3 linked regions of the Arabidopsis thaliana genome follow. The protein of the gene in region 1 interacts with the protein of each later gene in a pairwise test. Each region holds a gene or a part of one and is shown in the gene's direction. Other genes may lie near its edges.

The links. Proteins that work in one complex are often made in the same cells at the same time.
Region 2: the proteins of MBD1 (region 1) and IAA2 interact in binary tests that used the Arabidopsis thaliana proteins (3 or more experiments, as listed by UniProt).
Region 3: the proteins of MBD1 (region 1) and AT3G04930 interact in binary tests that used the Arabidopsis thaliana proteins (3 or more experiments, as listed by UniProt).

What each region holds. Positions count from the first base shown.
Region 1 is NC_003075.7:11,946,321-11,951,477, reverse strand, and holds MBD1 (methyl-CPG-binding domain 1), read left to right. Parts: upstream 1-2,673; 5' UTR 2,674-2,836; intron 2,837-2,958; 5' UTR 2,959-2,963; coding exon 2,964-3,083; intron 3,084-3,562; coding exon 3,563-4,057; 3' UTR 4,058-4,268; downstream 4,269-5,157. Other genes in the region: AT4G22750 (DHHC-type zinc finger protein), read left to right, coding at 143-331, 866-1,079, 1,167-1,258, 1,364-1,493, 1,591-1,676, 1,781-1,843, 1,978-2,112. UniProt on the Arabidopsis thaliana protein: Probable transcriptional regulator.
Region 2 is NC_003074.8:8,179,224-8,184,102, reverse strand, and holds IAA2 (indole-3-acetic acid inducible 2), read left to right. Parts: upstream 1-2,007; 5' UTR 2,008-2,156; coding exon 2,157-2,590; intron 2,591-2,682; coding exon 2,683-3,034; 3' UTR 3,035-3,457; downstream 3,458-4,879. Other genes in the region: AT3G23020 (Tetratricopeptide repeat (TPR)-like superfamily protein), read left to right, coding at 4,360-4,879. UniProt on the Arabidopsis thaliana protein: Aux/IAA proteins are short-lived transcriptional factors that function as repressors of early auxin response genes at low auxin concentrations.
Region 3 is NC_003074.8:1,360,062-1,366,221, forward strand, and holds AT3G04930 (DNA-binding storekeeper protein-related transcriptional regulator), read left to right. Parts: upstream 1-2,435; 5' UTR 2,436-2,967; coding exon 2,968-4,338; 3' UTR 4,339-4,558; coding exon of another isoform or gene 4,559-4,590; 3' UTR 4,591-4,738; downstream 4,739-6,160. Other genes in the region: AT3G04920 (Ribosomal protein S24e family protein), read left to right, coding at 928-999, 1,299-1,340, 1,434-1,604, 1,802-1,888, 1,975-2,004; CYSD1 (cysteine synthase D1), read left to right, coding at 5,620-5,661, 5,770-5,879, 5,997-6,054, 6,143-6,160.

The sequences.
Region 1 (5,157 bases):
GGATAATTATCCATGAAAACAAAAAAATTGTCAGCTCGATTTCATCGAAATTTATAAACTTTATTCCTCAATTCAATTTGGGGTTTGCTTCATTTTTTTCTCCGACCAAACAAGTTCCGGGTGTTTTGAAAGAACCCCGACAATGGCGTGGAACGTGTTCAAGTTCTGCACAGCACTTCGCGCCTTGGGTTCGATCATGATCTTAATTGTTATCGGGATCATCGGATTCACATACTACGCCGTTGTCGTCGTTAATTACGGACCTGCTCTACTGATCGGTGGTGTCGATTCATTACTATCTGTTCTCGTCTTAGCGTTCTTCCACTTTCTGGTAAACTCAATTCTTCCTTCTAGGTCAATCTGAAATTTTTAATCTTTTTGTGACCCTTTTGAAATTTTTGCATTTGGTACCCTCTAGATCTCTGCTAATTACATGATACGCTGGTTTGGACTATGCTTTAGTTACTTACGAATTGTAATCTTTTGGGTTCTGTCAGATGCACCAACTTGATTTTGCTTTGATAATATTGAGTCAAAGCTTGTTGCTTTGTTGTGGTAGTGGGCTCAATCTAGCTTGGCGTGTGGATTTACATTTGTGTCTGTTGGATTTTAAGTAACAGCAAGATGAGATAGTGAATTAGGATAGTATAAGCTAAGTAAGCAATCAAGTATTCATCTTTTTTTTTTTGGTTTGATTTGGTTGTAGTGTAGAGTGTCTTTGTTTCTTTTAGTTTTAAAGCTGTTGGTTTCTTGTGTGTTTTAATAGATTATCAACATTTGAACTCCCTCGCATTGTAGAACTCACAGAGGAAAGAGTAAGGAAGCAAAGGACTCATTTTTTTTATGATTGTTGTTTTGTTTGCAGCTTATAATGCTACTGTGGAGTTATTTCTCTGTTGTTGTGACGGACCCTGGTGGTGTTCCAACGGGTTGGAGGCCAGAATTAGACATAGAGAAAAGCGAGGGAAACCAAGCTTTGATTGGAGAAGCTTCGGTTGGAGATTCCTCGTCTCATGGTGTAAGATATTGTAGAAAGTGCAATCAATATAAACCGCCTCGTTCTCACCATTGTTCAGTCTGTAAGTCTCTTCAATGAGTGATTCTTTTCTTTGAATCCGGTATATGTGTTTTTTAGTAGTGAAAAAGTTGTCATATTGGGTTTTCAGGTGGAAGATGCATACTAAAGATGGACCATCACTGTGTTTGGGTGGTGAATTGTGTTGGTGCAAATAACTACAAATCATTTCTCCTATTCTTGGTATGTCAACTTATCATAGCATCGCTGAACGAAGTTGTTTTTGATATGTTCTGTTCATTAATGTTGCCATGATCATAATCCATTCCCAATATCTCAAAAATGCAGTTTTACACATTTCTTGAGACAACGGTGGTTGCAGTATCACTATTGCCAATTTTCCTCGTATTCTTCAGCGATGGAGATGGTGATATAACCGTATCACCAGGAAGCCTAGCAGCCAGCTTTGTTGCATTTGGTGAGTTCAAAGATATAGAAATCTCAGTTTCCGTTTTTGTTTCAGAACACCTTAACGTTACCATCTGATTCAAAAACTTCACTCTCTTGCTTTCCAGTATTGAACATAGCATTTGCCCTAAGTGTCCTAGGCTTCCTAATAATGCACATAATGTTGGTCGCTCGTAACACCACAACTATTGAGGTAAAGCAACAACTCTCACTTGGTTTTGCTCTTAACTTGGGTTCTCTCAGGAATCTCCATGTCAATAAACTCACTGACCAAACTAATGGTTTCTTTAATCTCAGGCGTATGAGAAGCATACAGTGAACTGGCCATACAACGTTGGTCGTAAGACAAACTTTGAACAGGTTCGCTCTCCATCTTCTTTGTTTCACTCGTTCTTCAGTGACTGATTCGTTTCCCCGCTACTTAGATAATATCTTTGACATCGAACACAATGAAAGCTTTAAAAAGTTTGGTCTCTATTCCTTTGTTGAATCAGGTTTTTGGAAGTGATAAAATGTATTGGTTCGTGCCATTGTACACGGAAGACGATAAGAAGAAGTTGCCAGCACTTGGAGGGTTAGACTTTACGAGCAGGTCGGAGTCCGAGACAGAGCCGCTTCAGTCTCTATGACCTTACAAACTTGAAATTTTTGGAAGTGTGTCTTCTGCTTTGTGTATGTATCAATCAAATATTATATCAAACATTGTCTTGTGTATTATAAAGATTAGTGCCTATTGTGGAATTTGTATCTTTTTATTTCGTGAAAAGAAATTTCTCAAACTTCTTAAATATACCATTTTCACATTTGCTTAAATATACCATTTTCATTTTTTCACTATTGATAATAATAACATGTTATTTATCATAAAAAATAAAAAAATCACGACACGTGAATGATGTACTGTAACTATCAAAGATTTGACGTACCACATACTTTCTGTATGTTTTTGATCGAATCAAAAATAATTATTTTTGTCCTTTTTTGTTTTATTGTTATTTTATAATGTAATACTTTTACTAAAATAATTTTTTTTAAAAACTAAATTTCTGGTCTATATAATTTTGGCCAAATATGTACATATTTAAAATCCAGAGTCAACCATTTAACAAACACTTGGAAATTTAATTAATTATTATGCCCTGTTTAGTAGAAAATCCATTAAAAATTACAGAAATGGTCTGCGTGTCGCATTGAACCAATCATATCTCGACATCTGTAAATACAGTTGGAGAAGATTTTTTCTTCTTCTGCTGGCCAAAAAAAAACATTGCATTAAAAAGGGTTCAAAGAAAAATTCTCAAATTCTCTAACAAAGAGCTCTGAGATTTTTGGAAATCTGAATCGTTGTTCGAGGTATGAACTTTTGGATCACTCTCCTTGAATCTGCTCTTTGATTCGATTTCGTACTTGAATTTCGCAATTTTGGAGTTTTCTCTCGCTTCGTTATACTGATCGTTTAGGGCTTGAAATTGAAGGTTTAATGTTACCATTTCCGGCAATGAACTTGAAGAAGTCTCGATCGGAAAACTCATCAGTTGCTTCATCTGGAAGTAAGATTGAGGAGCAGACTGAGAAATCAGCTGAACCAACAACCATTAAGGTAAACCTCACTAAACCTAAACCCGGTTTCAATTTTGCTTTGTGGTCTCTCTTTACCACACAGATCTTATCATTGAATTCTATCTCTTAATTAGGGTTTTAGTTGAGAATCTTAAGGTTTTTTTTCAACCAGTTTCGAAGACTTAGTTACTAGTGTTATTTGACGAACTGATGCAGACATAAAGGTTATAACTTTATTTCTCGTTGTGTCTTTGGCTGATCAGTTATGTATAAAATTTAATCAATATTTATGCTATTTAAGGTTTCGCAGTGACCCTTTTCTTCAAATTTGGTTTTTGATTCTGCATGTTCTCAGTATCACTCTTTTGGTGGTGTCCCTGTTTTGACTTTTGTGTTTCTCTACGCATGTTTTCTCATCTTGCTATATATTAAACGATTTGTAGTATGATTCTGTTGATCCAAGTAGCTTGTGAGTGACTGTTCTTCTTTTCACCGAGATTCCATATTTGTATTGTGCAGGTGCAGAAAAAAGCCGGTACTCCAGGGAGGTCGATAGATGTCTTTGCTGTGCAGTGTGAGAAGTGCATGAAGTGGAGGAAGATTGATACTCAAGATGAGTATGAAGATATCAGAAGTAGAGTACAAGAGGACCCGTTTTTTTGCAAGACGAAAGAAGGTGTGTCCTGTGAAGATGTTGGAGATCTAAACTATGATTCCTCCAGAACATGGGTCATCGACAAGCCTGGCTTGCCGAGGACACCAAGAGGGTTCAAAAGGAGCTTAATTCTGAGAAAGGATTACTCGAAAATGGATGCGTACTACATAACTCCTACTGGGAAGAAGCTCAAGTCTCGTAATGAAATCGCAGCCTTCATCGATGCCAATCAGGATTACAAGTATGCACTGCTTGGAGATTTCAATTTCACAGTCCCAAAGGTGATGGAAGAGACGGTTCCTAGTGGGATATTATCTGACAGGACCCCCAAGCCATCAAGGAAAGTTACAATTGATTGAGCTACATAGCGCTTCCCAGCTTCTTATGGTGTTGAAGTTGTTATTGGAGTCAGTTTTAGGTTTCTATCTGGTTTAGTCTTTTAAGGGTGTCGGACTTCTTACTGTAGAATGTTTCTTAAACTCATCTCTTTGACTCTGATTGGATCTTTATTTTCTAATGAAGGATTATCTTTTCTTCTCTTTTTGTTATGTCACAAGTCACAACTACATGAATCGCTCTGGTTTTCACTCAGTGTGTACAAACAAACACGACAAAGTATATTCAAGCAGCATGTGTACAACTTCTTCTACTCCAAGCGCACCCTCTGCTATAGCGTGCGGTGTGCAAGTCCTCGCTTATGGGCTATTTATCCCATTCAACATTGAGTATTGGTCATAACCTCTTGGGACTGAGAGCTTTATGAAAAGAAGCCTTAAACAATGATTGCATATTTGGGATTTTCAAAAAGAAGACTCACAACATAACTTTATGTATGTTTCCGCTCTTGGGTTTTCTGACCAGCCCTTGAAGCTAGTCCTTTCTCAAGGTTTTGTGTATGTTTCATTAGTTTTTGTTTGTATCTGGAGTCTACCGTTTATTAGAAGTTTAGGTTGCTCCTTCCACCGTCCTTACTCCTTGGTTTAGTTGAATAAGCAGTTTTCTCATGTGGTCTTACTTGGTATGTAAAGGCTAACCTTTTGTGGGCATGCAAAGTTCTAAATTTAGACTCTTTAGGATGAAGATTACATGGCTACAATTTTTGATTCTTATATGTGATTTTTTCTTCTTGTTATTCGTCGTATTTGGGGTCCTTTTTCGCGATTTACATTTGCCTCGAAGACTGCTTGTGAGCTTTTGTAGTTCTGCATCTACTGTTCTTTCCGCGCTTTCTGTTGACTGCGAGTGTGGTTTTCACATTATTTTGTTTGGTGGTAGCATTTTTTCTTAAACTTCGGTGGTTATTTTAAGTTATGTTCAAAGTTTTGTTTGTAATTTCGTGGTTCCGAATGAGTAGCGGCTTGATTATCCGTATTACTTTTGGGTTTGATTTTTCGAATCACTCTCGAGCTTTGTTCCTAATTTATGCAGTTTGTGTTCAACTTGTAACTTTTTTTGTATA
Region 2 (4,879 bases), on another chromosome or scaffold:
TTTTACAGATATTAAATTAAAATTCTCAAAAATATTTTAATGTTTTGGTATGAAACTATAATCAAGTAAAACATACTATATTTAAATTTCAAAATTGTTCATATATGACATACTTTTTTTTTTTGAATAAACGAGAAATTAAAGTAGAAAATAATTAACATTTTTACCATGATAATTAAAACACGGTTAATATTTCTAACCAAAAAAAATTAAGAATCTATTAGCTAGTTCATATAGTTATTCACGTACCTCTTCAAGATATGTACGTTAAAATTGTCATCAGAATCTGTAGTCCTTGTAGAGTAAAAAATATCAAATATTAACATAAAAGAACAAACAACTGTTGATTCAGTACATAAATTAATACATTAAATTGACCACAGAGACCAAAATAATCTAAAAATGATTTATGTATTTGGCTTAAGTTCAATATTGTTTTTTAGGCAAAACTTAATGTTCAATATATATTCATGGAATTAACTCCATAATAAACAGTAACTGAATTCTCTTGTACTTTCTTAAATGGTTTTCAGTAAAAAGGTTTAGTTTAACCAACAAATAACTTTAGCAATCATCTATATAAGCATAAAGCATCACATAGATCTAGTAGTTATGTTTCTATAATACATTTTCACTAAGACTAAAACATGCATGAACACACAAACAGGAAAAAACTATTCTCAAGAAGTTTGTTTCCCACCATGTTAAGTGATTCTAGAAATCTGTAAATGGTTAACCTTTAGTATTCATTCGTGCAATATTTAACAGACAAATGGTATTCATTCGTGCATCTCTCAGTTTGTGAGAAAATACATTGCATGAGTTCGTTATTAACTGGAAATAATACATAAAACTCTGACAATCAGAACCTCTAAATTATTTACTTATAAGAAGAGAGGCAACGTATCTTGCATCGCTTTTACTTATCTAATCTTTTGGTGATGGAAGGGGCAAGAACATAGAAGGAATCTTTATCTTAAAAGAAGAGAAAACAAATAATATCCAAAATTGGTAAATCCATTGAATAAAGCCTAACGTTAACATCAAATCGCATGCGGATTAGAAGCTAAATGCACATAGTTAAGCGTAATCTATGGGGAGAAATTAATTACCACTTTTTGGTTCATTCTTTTAAGTTTTATGATTCAATGAATACATAGCACGTGGAACCTCTCTCCCCCACAACCCATTTTGAAGGGAAATGAATAATTAAAAGAGACATACACATAAGAAAGCACATGGCTTTACCATTCCTCTATCAATTACCAACACATTTGACCCTTATCCACATGGGTCTTCGTCTCCTATTATAAAATCAAAATCTACACACAAAATGTTATAACATTTTCCAACTCACAATATACAAAATGCCACGCATAAATATGTCTTCGCAAGACAAATATGTAACGTTTAATATTCGATATTATCTGAGATTTAACCATAAAACTAATATTTCTTTATTAATCAAATTACATCTACGAGCAAAAATGATAAAATTCAACTTATGCACATTCAATAGTTCGTAACACATAAGAGTACTTGGAAACTCTAAATAATCTTCATTTTGGAATCAGGATTCAATAAAATAGTACTTTATTTGACATAAGTGTCCTTTTAACCATTTTTTACACCATACGTTTTTTCTTCTGAATCGAAATTTTTACATCATACTTTCAAAACATCTATTAATCTTTTAAGTTAAAAATTAATAAATCAATAGAAGTAAACTAAAAATAATAATCAACTTTCACATCAAATTTTAAGACAACACATTATATTTAAATATATATTAAGAATATCTATTATGCAACAAATGGATTAACAATCATTAGCACTTGATATTTTCTTTATAACCTGCACTATACACTTTCAAAAAGAGAAGAAGAAACCTTTAAGAAACAGTAAATAAATGTTATTATAATACACCTCTTTAGTCTTTACTTTATTTATATTTTCTCTGTTTGCTTTTATTCCGGGTCGGCCGATAGAATTCTCATCATTTCATTCATTTTTATATTCTTTCGTTATAATTATTATACATCCTTTGAAAGAAAAAGAAGAGGCAATAGAGATGGACGGCTAAGATGTTAACGTAAACAAAGTTGGCGGAGGGAAAAGAGGAGCGTGGAATAATTAAACAAAAGAGTCGTGTCCACATGGGCGGCCTCAAGCTTCGTGTCCCACTTTTGTCCCCTTGCCTCTTTCTTGCCTTTCATGCTTCCGACAACACTTCTCTCTCTTCCTTTAACCCTAACTTCGATGCTCCTTTATATATATCTCTCTCCCCTTTTCTCCAAAACTCATCAACCAGCTCACCAAGAACAAGAACAAGAAGAAGAAGAACAAGACAAGAAGAACAAAGTACCCAAGAAAACACACAAGAAGGAAACACAAAGATTGATATTGATCCAAAAGCAATGGCGTACGAGAAAGTCAACGAGCTTAACCTTAAGGACACAGAGCTATGTCTTGGATTACCCGGAAGAACAGAGAAGATCAAAGAAGAACAAGAGGTTTCTTGCGTTAAAAGTAACAACAAGCGTCTATTTGAGGAAACTCGTGATGAAGAAGAATCTACACCTCCTACCAAGTAAGTAGAAGAGATCTGAGTTTCAAATTGGCTTCTTTCAAATTATTGGCTCTTGAATAGTTTTACTAATCTTTCTTTCCTCAAATTTACAGAACTCAAATCGTTGGTTGGCCACCAGTGAGATCTTCCCGTAAGAACAACAACAGTGTGAGCTACGTGAAAGTGAGTATGGACGGAGCTCCTTACCTTCGCAAGATCGATCTCAAGACATACAAAAACTACCCCGAGCTTCTCAAAGCGTTAGAGAATATGTTCAAAGTCATGATTGGTGAATATTGTGAGAGAGAAGGATACAAAGGATCTGGATTTGTACCAACATACGAAGATAAAGATGGTGACTGGATGTTGGTTGGTGATGTTCCATGGGACATGTTCTCTTCTTCTTGTAAGAGACTCAGAATCATGAAGGGATCCGACGCTCCTGCTCTAGACTCTTCCTTATGATCCAGAGAAGCTGAGAATCTTTTGTCTAAAAAGGAGATGATGACTATGATCGATGAATGAAAAACCCTTTTTGGTTTGATTCGGATCGGAGTTTGACTAAAGTTGACCGTGAAAGACGAAACTTCGGGGTTTTGTCCGACGAGAGATCCATCTCTAGTGATGTTCTTTTTGTTTTTGTATTTAGATTTGAAGTTTGATGTAAAGATACATGAGATTTTATGTATAATACGGACACATACACAATCTATAGATGTATAATGTATTAAGTAGTTATGTCCTATAAGATCATCAGTTTTCTGTTCTTGATCACGAACATAATATTTTAAATTTCAGAAACTTATACACATTTGTTTAGCCAAGGTTATTTATTAACTTTTTTTTTTGTTTAAAGTTTAACCAAGGTTATTATTTACTTATTCAGCAAAACATTTACCACCACATGAGACAAATTTTCTATAATGCCTTCCCAAAACACATCCACAATTCTATAGATAGGCCTTGTCGATCAAAAGATTTCAAAAACAATTTTTCTTTTTGATGAATTGTAAATGACTCTGTCTCTTCAGCTTATTAGATGTTTTAGCTAAACTGCAAGAATTATTATGTAATAATTTTGTTATATTAAAAACAGAAATTAATATCTAACCTAAACAATTCAACCAATTGTAAAAAAATATTACATAATAATATAAGTCTGATAACATATGAAATTGAAAAACACAATTTAATATAATAAAACTGAGAAAATAATATTAGTTTTTCTAGGGTAAAGGTTATTAATATTACATAAAAACATAATAATATTAATAAAACACAATTTAAGATTATAGATTTTTAGACTACAAAAGGGCTCATGGGAAGTTCTCGAACCGGAACTGAACCAAAATACCGAACGCCAATGACTAGTTTTCAAGTATGTTTTTTTCATTATGTGAACCAAGTAATAAAAAATCATTTCTCTTCTAATAGGGTTCTTATGTGCATATGATCAAGGTTTTGGGATTATTTGGAAATCAAATATATAAAGAGTTGTTTTCTATAAATAAATAAAACTTCAGGAGTTTACAGCTTTTTATTTCCTTTAAGGGCTTAAACTATTACGAAATTATCAATTTAATCCTCAAATGTATTCTCTTTCCAATCGGACAAAGGACCTTTGCGCGCGCAATTTTATCCATTAGCAACAACGCCAGAAAAAAATCTCGTCAGAATTTTACAGAGAATCACGTTCGCCGGAGAAGTATATACCACCTTCGTCGCAATTGGCGGTGCAAATTCTTTTCCTTTTCTCTAGTGAATAAACTAATGCTCGTTGCAGTTGAAAAATGTTGTTGAATCTTCGTCTAGATGGAAGTAGCTTACATGTTCTCTGTTCTACAAAAACCTTACCGATTTCTTCGCCTCTCGATAAATTCCCATCTTTCAAGAAATTGAAGCAGAATTACGTACCAGGAACTCACGAGAGTGACAAAGGACCACAGAGAAGCACCAGAAATGGCGACAGAGGTTGTGGTACCGTTGCTCATGAAGTTGTCGCCGGAAAAAACTTACTTTTAGTAAACCCAAGTAATGGTTGCGTCGGAAAATCAGGGATCATTGATGGGTTTGTTGATAAGAGAAGTAAAGATGCGAGATTTGGTGGGAATGGTTTGGTTAGTGAAGTGCACACCAAGTGTTCGACGAAACGTCTGAGTTACGGAGGATGTATTCCCGCTATTTTAGAAGCTTTGGATAGTATTGAAGATGTTGAAGATGCGTTGAGTCCGTGGGCAGAGAGGCTTAGTAACAAGGAGAGAACGATTATATTAAAGGAGCAGATACATTGGGAGAGAGCGGTGGAGATAT
Region 3 (6,160 bases), on another chromosome or scaffold:
AATCAACGAATAGATGGTGTTATTAAATTTTGTCCTCATATATATATTTGGCGATCTTAAAATTTATACATGTTCCAGCGAATGGTCGAAATCTGATCAGTACAACCTTCAAATGATCTTTTGCGGTGGAAGCCAACTCATTTTAACACACTCGTGGCTTAACAAGATCAAAACATTATATTCTGTTTTATAATAGTTTCTTTTGAGCTTTAATAATTACTCTTCTTTCCCAAAAGTTTCATAATATTTCTTTGCAATAACTCCGGCAAACAATTCTTATTTGTTAAATAGTAAAAGTAACACGTTGACAAGACAAAAAATGATTATTCCCTACATTGTAAGTGTAAAACACCAAAGCACAACGAATAAAATAAAATAAAAGTTTCTTAGCCGTTTGTGTTTTTCTTTTCCCAAAAGTTTATATTAAGTGTCAAAGTACAAGTTAATTAGTTCTAATCAGCTGAACACAACTATACATATACACATTAAACTGTCATTTAGTCTTAAGTGTTTGACATTGGTTAATTCTAACTCAAAATTGCTGAATTCGTAGCATTAATGAACCCCAGTTTTGTGTTATGTACAGAAAATATTGACTCGTGGCGTGGGGGAAACAAAGACTTTAACCAATGTCCAATGACAATTGTTTGTGACACTAGGCTATAAATATTTTAGGCCCAGTGGGCTTCGTTTTATTTTCCCATGTAAATGTTTATTAATCAAACCTAGAAAACCAAACGGCTAGGATTAAGTAAGCCCAAATTAAAAGTTGAGGCCCATACAAAGAGAACACAAAAGAAACCCTAAGGAACTTGTAACTATATAAAAGCTCCGACTTCGATTCGGCGTCTCTTTCCTTCACCTGAGCGGACGAAAACACTCAAGCTTGCAGAGATCTTTCACTTTAATCCTTGAGAAGTAGCAAAAATGGCTGAAAAGGCGGTCACCATCCGAACCAGGAAATTCATGACCAACAGACTTCTCTCCAGGAAGCAGTTCGTGAGTTCCATTATTTTTTTTCTCTTCTCTATCTGCATATCATTTTTGTTCTTCTGGGTTTTGTTTTAATGGGAATCTAGTTATAATTTGATATGAACCCAATCTCGAGAGAATGCATTCGTTGTCTCGTCAAATTTTTATAATTGGGGTTTGATGTTTTAGGTCAGGCTTTCAGATTTACGACCTAATGTTAAAGCATAGATAGTGTTTAGATCATATAGTATTGATCTGGCGCAATTTAGTTCCGTTTGAGATTTTGGAATGAAATTCTAAGTTATGGTGGATTGTTGAAAATATAGGTTATTGATGTTCTTCACCCTGGAAGAGCCAATGTTTCAAAGGTTTGTTCTTTACTCACTTTGTTACTTCATCTATTTCGAGTTCTGATAGACTATGAGAGGTTCTAACGGGAGAGTTGGTTTTATTTTTGCAAGGCTGAGCTGAAGGAGAAGCTAGCAAGGATGTACGAGGTCAAGGATCCAAATGCAATCTTCGTATTCAAATTCAGAACCCACTTTGGAGGTGGTAAATCATCCGGGTTTGGTTTGATCTATGATACTGTTGAGAGCGCTAAGAAGTTTGAACCCAAATACAGACTTATCAGGGTAAATGCTTTTTCCACTCTTGTTTCCATTGTTATATATTGCTACTCACATTGACCCGTCTTAAATCATTACTCTTGCTCATTACTGTTTGTCTGAAAATTATAAGCTATGTGATAAGTTTCGGACTTTATATCGTATTGCACTTGGTGTTCTCTGCATCTTTATACTTAAACATGCTTTGTCTATGTGGTTGGCAGAATGGACTTGACACTAAGATTGAGAAGTCAAGGAAACAAATTAAGGAAAGGAAGAACAGGGCGAAGAAAATCCGTGGTGTTAAGAAGGTATGTATACTGGTTTTCCCTCTTGCTATCTTCTGTTTTTGATTGTGACTGTAGCTTTAAGAATCTGTTTTGATCAATGTTTGCAGACAAAGGCTGGTGATGCCAAGAAGAAGTGAGATCCTGAAGAGAGAATCTTTATCTTGTGGGTTCTTGTTCTCCATAATCAATCACCTTTTATGTTATTTGTCCGCTGTTAGATCGTTTCTCCAACTAGACATGTTTACTGAAATCTGAGATTTTCGTTTATTTTTGTTTTGGTCAGTTTATGTTTTGAGTTTAGAGAAACATATGATCCAAGGTTTTTGTTCAATACAACTATTTAATCTCTCTCTCGTCTCTTTCCACCATTCCCATGCGCAGCAGATATAAGCATTTTCTTGTTCCTTAGGTGATTTAATTCTTGATCGGTTACTCGTGCGGCTGTGTTTGATTGTAAACGTGAGTCTCTCTGGCTATTATCGATGTTATTTACCCACATATAATGAAAATTTACTTAGATCATAATTATGAAATCTCGCAAAGTTTCTAATTTATTATATCACTTTTGCTCCTTACTATTTTAATGGAAAAACTGTGATAATTACATGTCAATCACTGAATTTGAACAGTAATTATAATTTTCTATACCGCACAACATATGCTTATTTTGGTTTTGGGTACTGTCTTATTAGTTACATACGGTTTAGGTTGGCTTGTTTGTTTGTTTTGTCCTAGCTAATCACGTTAATGAAAACGCTCTACCAAATAACCGCGTTTAGAAAACGCTATTAGTTACCGAGTGTGGTTGGGACCGAGTGAGGACGTCACGGCTCCAACCAATCCGCAAATAAGGAAGCGCGTGTGTGTAAGTAGTGGGTGACCACTTTGCCTAGTCTTAAACGTTAAGTCTGGAAATACCAAAACTACCCCTGGTTTGGTCGAAGATTCTCACGCCCCTACCACCCAACCCAATCACAATCCTCGTGAACGAACACACCACCTTCTCTCCAATCTGGATCTGGTTCCTCTTCTTCTTGGTCTCTTCTCCATCTCATCGGAGCTGATCTCGAATTGTTCTCCGTTCATTTGTTACGGTGGAGATGACATCGGATCACCGCGACGCTCTTTTCTCTCTGGAACTGGAATCGCCTGATCCGGACGAAGGAGGTGTAGCAGACGGAGGAGAATCTGATACCGACGAGGATTTGCGCGACAACGATGATGTTGTTATGCCGGGAACGAACGAAGCTGAAGCTGAAGACGACGATCCCGAAGAGGAAGATCTCAATTCTCCGTCTACATCATCACTCCCCATGGTTTCTACGATCTCAGCGACTGCTGTTGTTTCCGGGACCCCGACGGCGACTTCCTCTACAGGCGCCGTGACCGTTGCACTTCCGGCTGGATCCGCCGTCCCTGTCTCCGTGATTCCCGTTGATTCCGATCCGAAGTGGCACCGTATGACGGAGATCGTCCATCAGAGACCACCGATCGATGATTCTAGACGCCTTTTCCAGAGGCTGTGGACAGACGAAGACGAGATCGAGCTTCTTCGTGGTTTTCTCGATTACATGACGATGCACCGCGGAAGCAGCTCGCATCCGCCGGATACGGCGCCGTTTTATGAGCAGATAAAGTCGAAACTTCAGCTGGATTTCAACAAGAACCAGCTGGTGGAGAAGCTTCGGAGATTGAAGAAGAAGTACAGGAATGTGATGAGCAAGATCAGCTCTGGTAAAGAGGTATTCTTCAAGAGCCCTCATGATCAGTCTACTTTCGAGATTTCTAGAAAAATCTGGAACCAAACTGGGAAAATCATAGGCTTTGAAGATAACAACGTAATGGATTTCGAAGAAACCAATAACCATCATAACACCACCAATGGTAACTACTCAACCTTTAACAGCCCTAGTTCTAATCCTACTCTGGAGCTCGACTCCGAAAATGGAATCGAGAAGAAATTGACAATGAGTAGCAGTAGCGTGTCGAGAAAACGATCACGATCAAGAATTGGGAAGATTGAGGAAGACAACAAACCTGTCATCACTCCCTCTGATGGGCCAATAGCTAGCAATGTCAACCTCAACGAAGCTGCAGCTGTTGGTATTGGAGGAAATCTCGGGGGTTTGATCGAAGAGACTGTGAAAAACTGTGTCTCTCCTGTGATCAAAGAGATGATGAATGGGACAACAAGTATGATGATGGCTGCAATGGGAGGAGGGTTTCCGGGTCTTGGTGGTGGTGGTGGTGGTGGTGGTGGTCATGGTTTTGGCTCGCTAAGCCCCATGTTTACACGGCCGTTCAATTTCGGTTTTGGTGTAGAGGGAGGAGGAAACAAGGCGGTTGCAGATGAGCGGTGGAGGAAACAACAGATTCTGGAATTGGAAGTGTATTCAAGGAGATTAGAGTTGGTTCAAGAGCAGATTAGAACGACATTGAACGAGTTAAAGACGATGCCGAGTGGTATATGATGAAGGGCGAGAAGAATAAGACAACAAGGAACCATTTAGGTTGATATTTGATATCTTTGAGTTAACCTTCTGGTGTGTGAGTGAGTATAGTAAGAGATTTGGATCTTTTTAAGTTATAAATTGGTAAGGTATTGTGATCTTTCTCTAGGTTTTTTCATCATTTTGATTTTTTTTTCTTCTTCTTATCTTTAAATTATTTGTCAATAGGGATGAATCATAGGAGGGGGGTTTGTGTATAACCTTTTGTATTAGATTATAGTTCTTTTTTCGTAGAATCATTTGTTCAATAACAAACAGACTTTCTAGCTGTTTTTCTTTCAAAAAGAAGAAAAATAATAATTCTAAATTGTGTGCTACTCTTTCTTTGTCTAATAAAATCTGTAATAACATGTTTATTTCTAGATCGGATACTGTTATTGAAGTGTATTAAACTTTGACCTCTTTCTTTATCATGTTGATTAATGTAGTTACTTAAAAACTTTTGTGTTTGAAAAAAAGAACCAATGTTGTGTTTCTTGCTAGTACGCATCAGAAGATTCCTTTCCTGATTAAGTAAAAAAAAAAAGGCATAATCAAAACAATTTAAAGATTCAAGAAGGCAGAAACTTGTCCACGTGACGAGGCAAAGAATGTTAGGTAGGTTTGTTATTGACTTTATAGTTTATACAATGATTTTAACAAAATACCTATGGAAGATACATGATTATTTTTTATAAATGTATAAACGAGTGGATATATTTGGTGGTGGATGATGGTGTGTGTGTATATGCAAATAATTCACTTTATAAAAGCTTATCGCTAATTTGACAGAACACTAGAACAGTTCTCTCTTTTTGTCGACAGTCTTCTTCTTCTTCTTCTTCTTCGATTGGATCTGGAACTGGTAAGCTCTTCTATAAGTCTCTGGTTTTGTATCTTTCGAACTGTTCTTTTGTTTCTCTCTCCAAAAATTTCAAACTTTCATAATTTCGCCTCCTCAAGTTCGATTTCAGCTCAAGAACACGAATGCTTCACTCACTTGTTTCATTGTTAAATCTTATATTTAGTTTGATACTCATGTTTTCTGCTGTTCGATTTTTTTTTTTCTCTGATTTATATTCGAGTTTGAACTTAAATCATGGTTTTGGTTTCACTTTACAATTTTGGATCTCATGCAGTTTCAAAACACTCTTCGATTTATATGAATGTTTTATATTATTAGGGACATTGCTTGCAGACTGTGTCTTAAATCTTTTTGATTTTCTTGTGATCTTCAGAACTCAAATTGGGAAGAATTTTGACATGGAGGAGGACCGGTGTTCGATCAAGGATGATGCAACTCAAGTAATCATAATCTTTCAGTTGTCTTTTTTAATCAACTGCTTCACTGGAATAAAGTTCTAGTTCCTTTGCTCAAGTAAAATGTACTTAGTTCCTTGCATACTGTGTCAGTTGATAGGTAACACCCCAATGGTATATCTGAACAACATTGTGGATGGTTGTGTAGCTCGTATTGCAGCTAAGCTTGAAATGATGGAGCCTTGCTCTAGTGTCAAGGAGCGGTATATATACAAATAACCCTCTCTCTATCTCTTTTGTCTGCTCCAAGCAATGTTTGTTCTTTTGTGTGTGTTTCTGAGAAATATCTTGTTTCTTTTGATTGATCCTTCGCTTGCTAGAATTGCTTATGGTATGATTAAAGATGCAGAAGACAAGGGATTGATTACTCCTGGGAAGGTAGATCAGATTATATCATACATTCGTGTTTTTTCGTTTTCGCCATTAAAAATCAAACTGATACTTGGATCCTGGTGGTTTTACTCAGAGCACACTGATTGAGGCT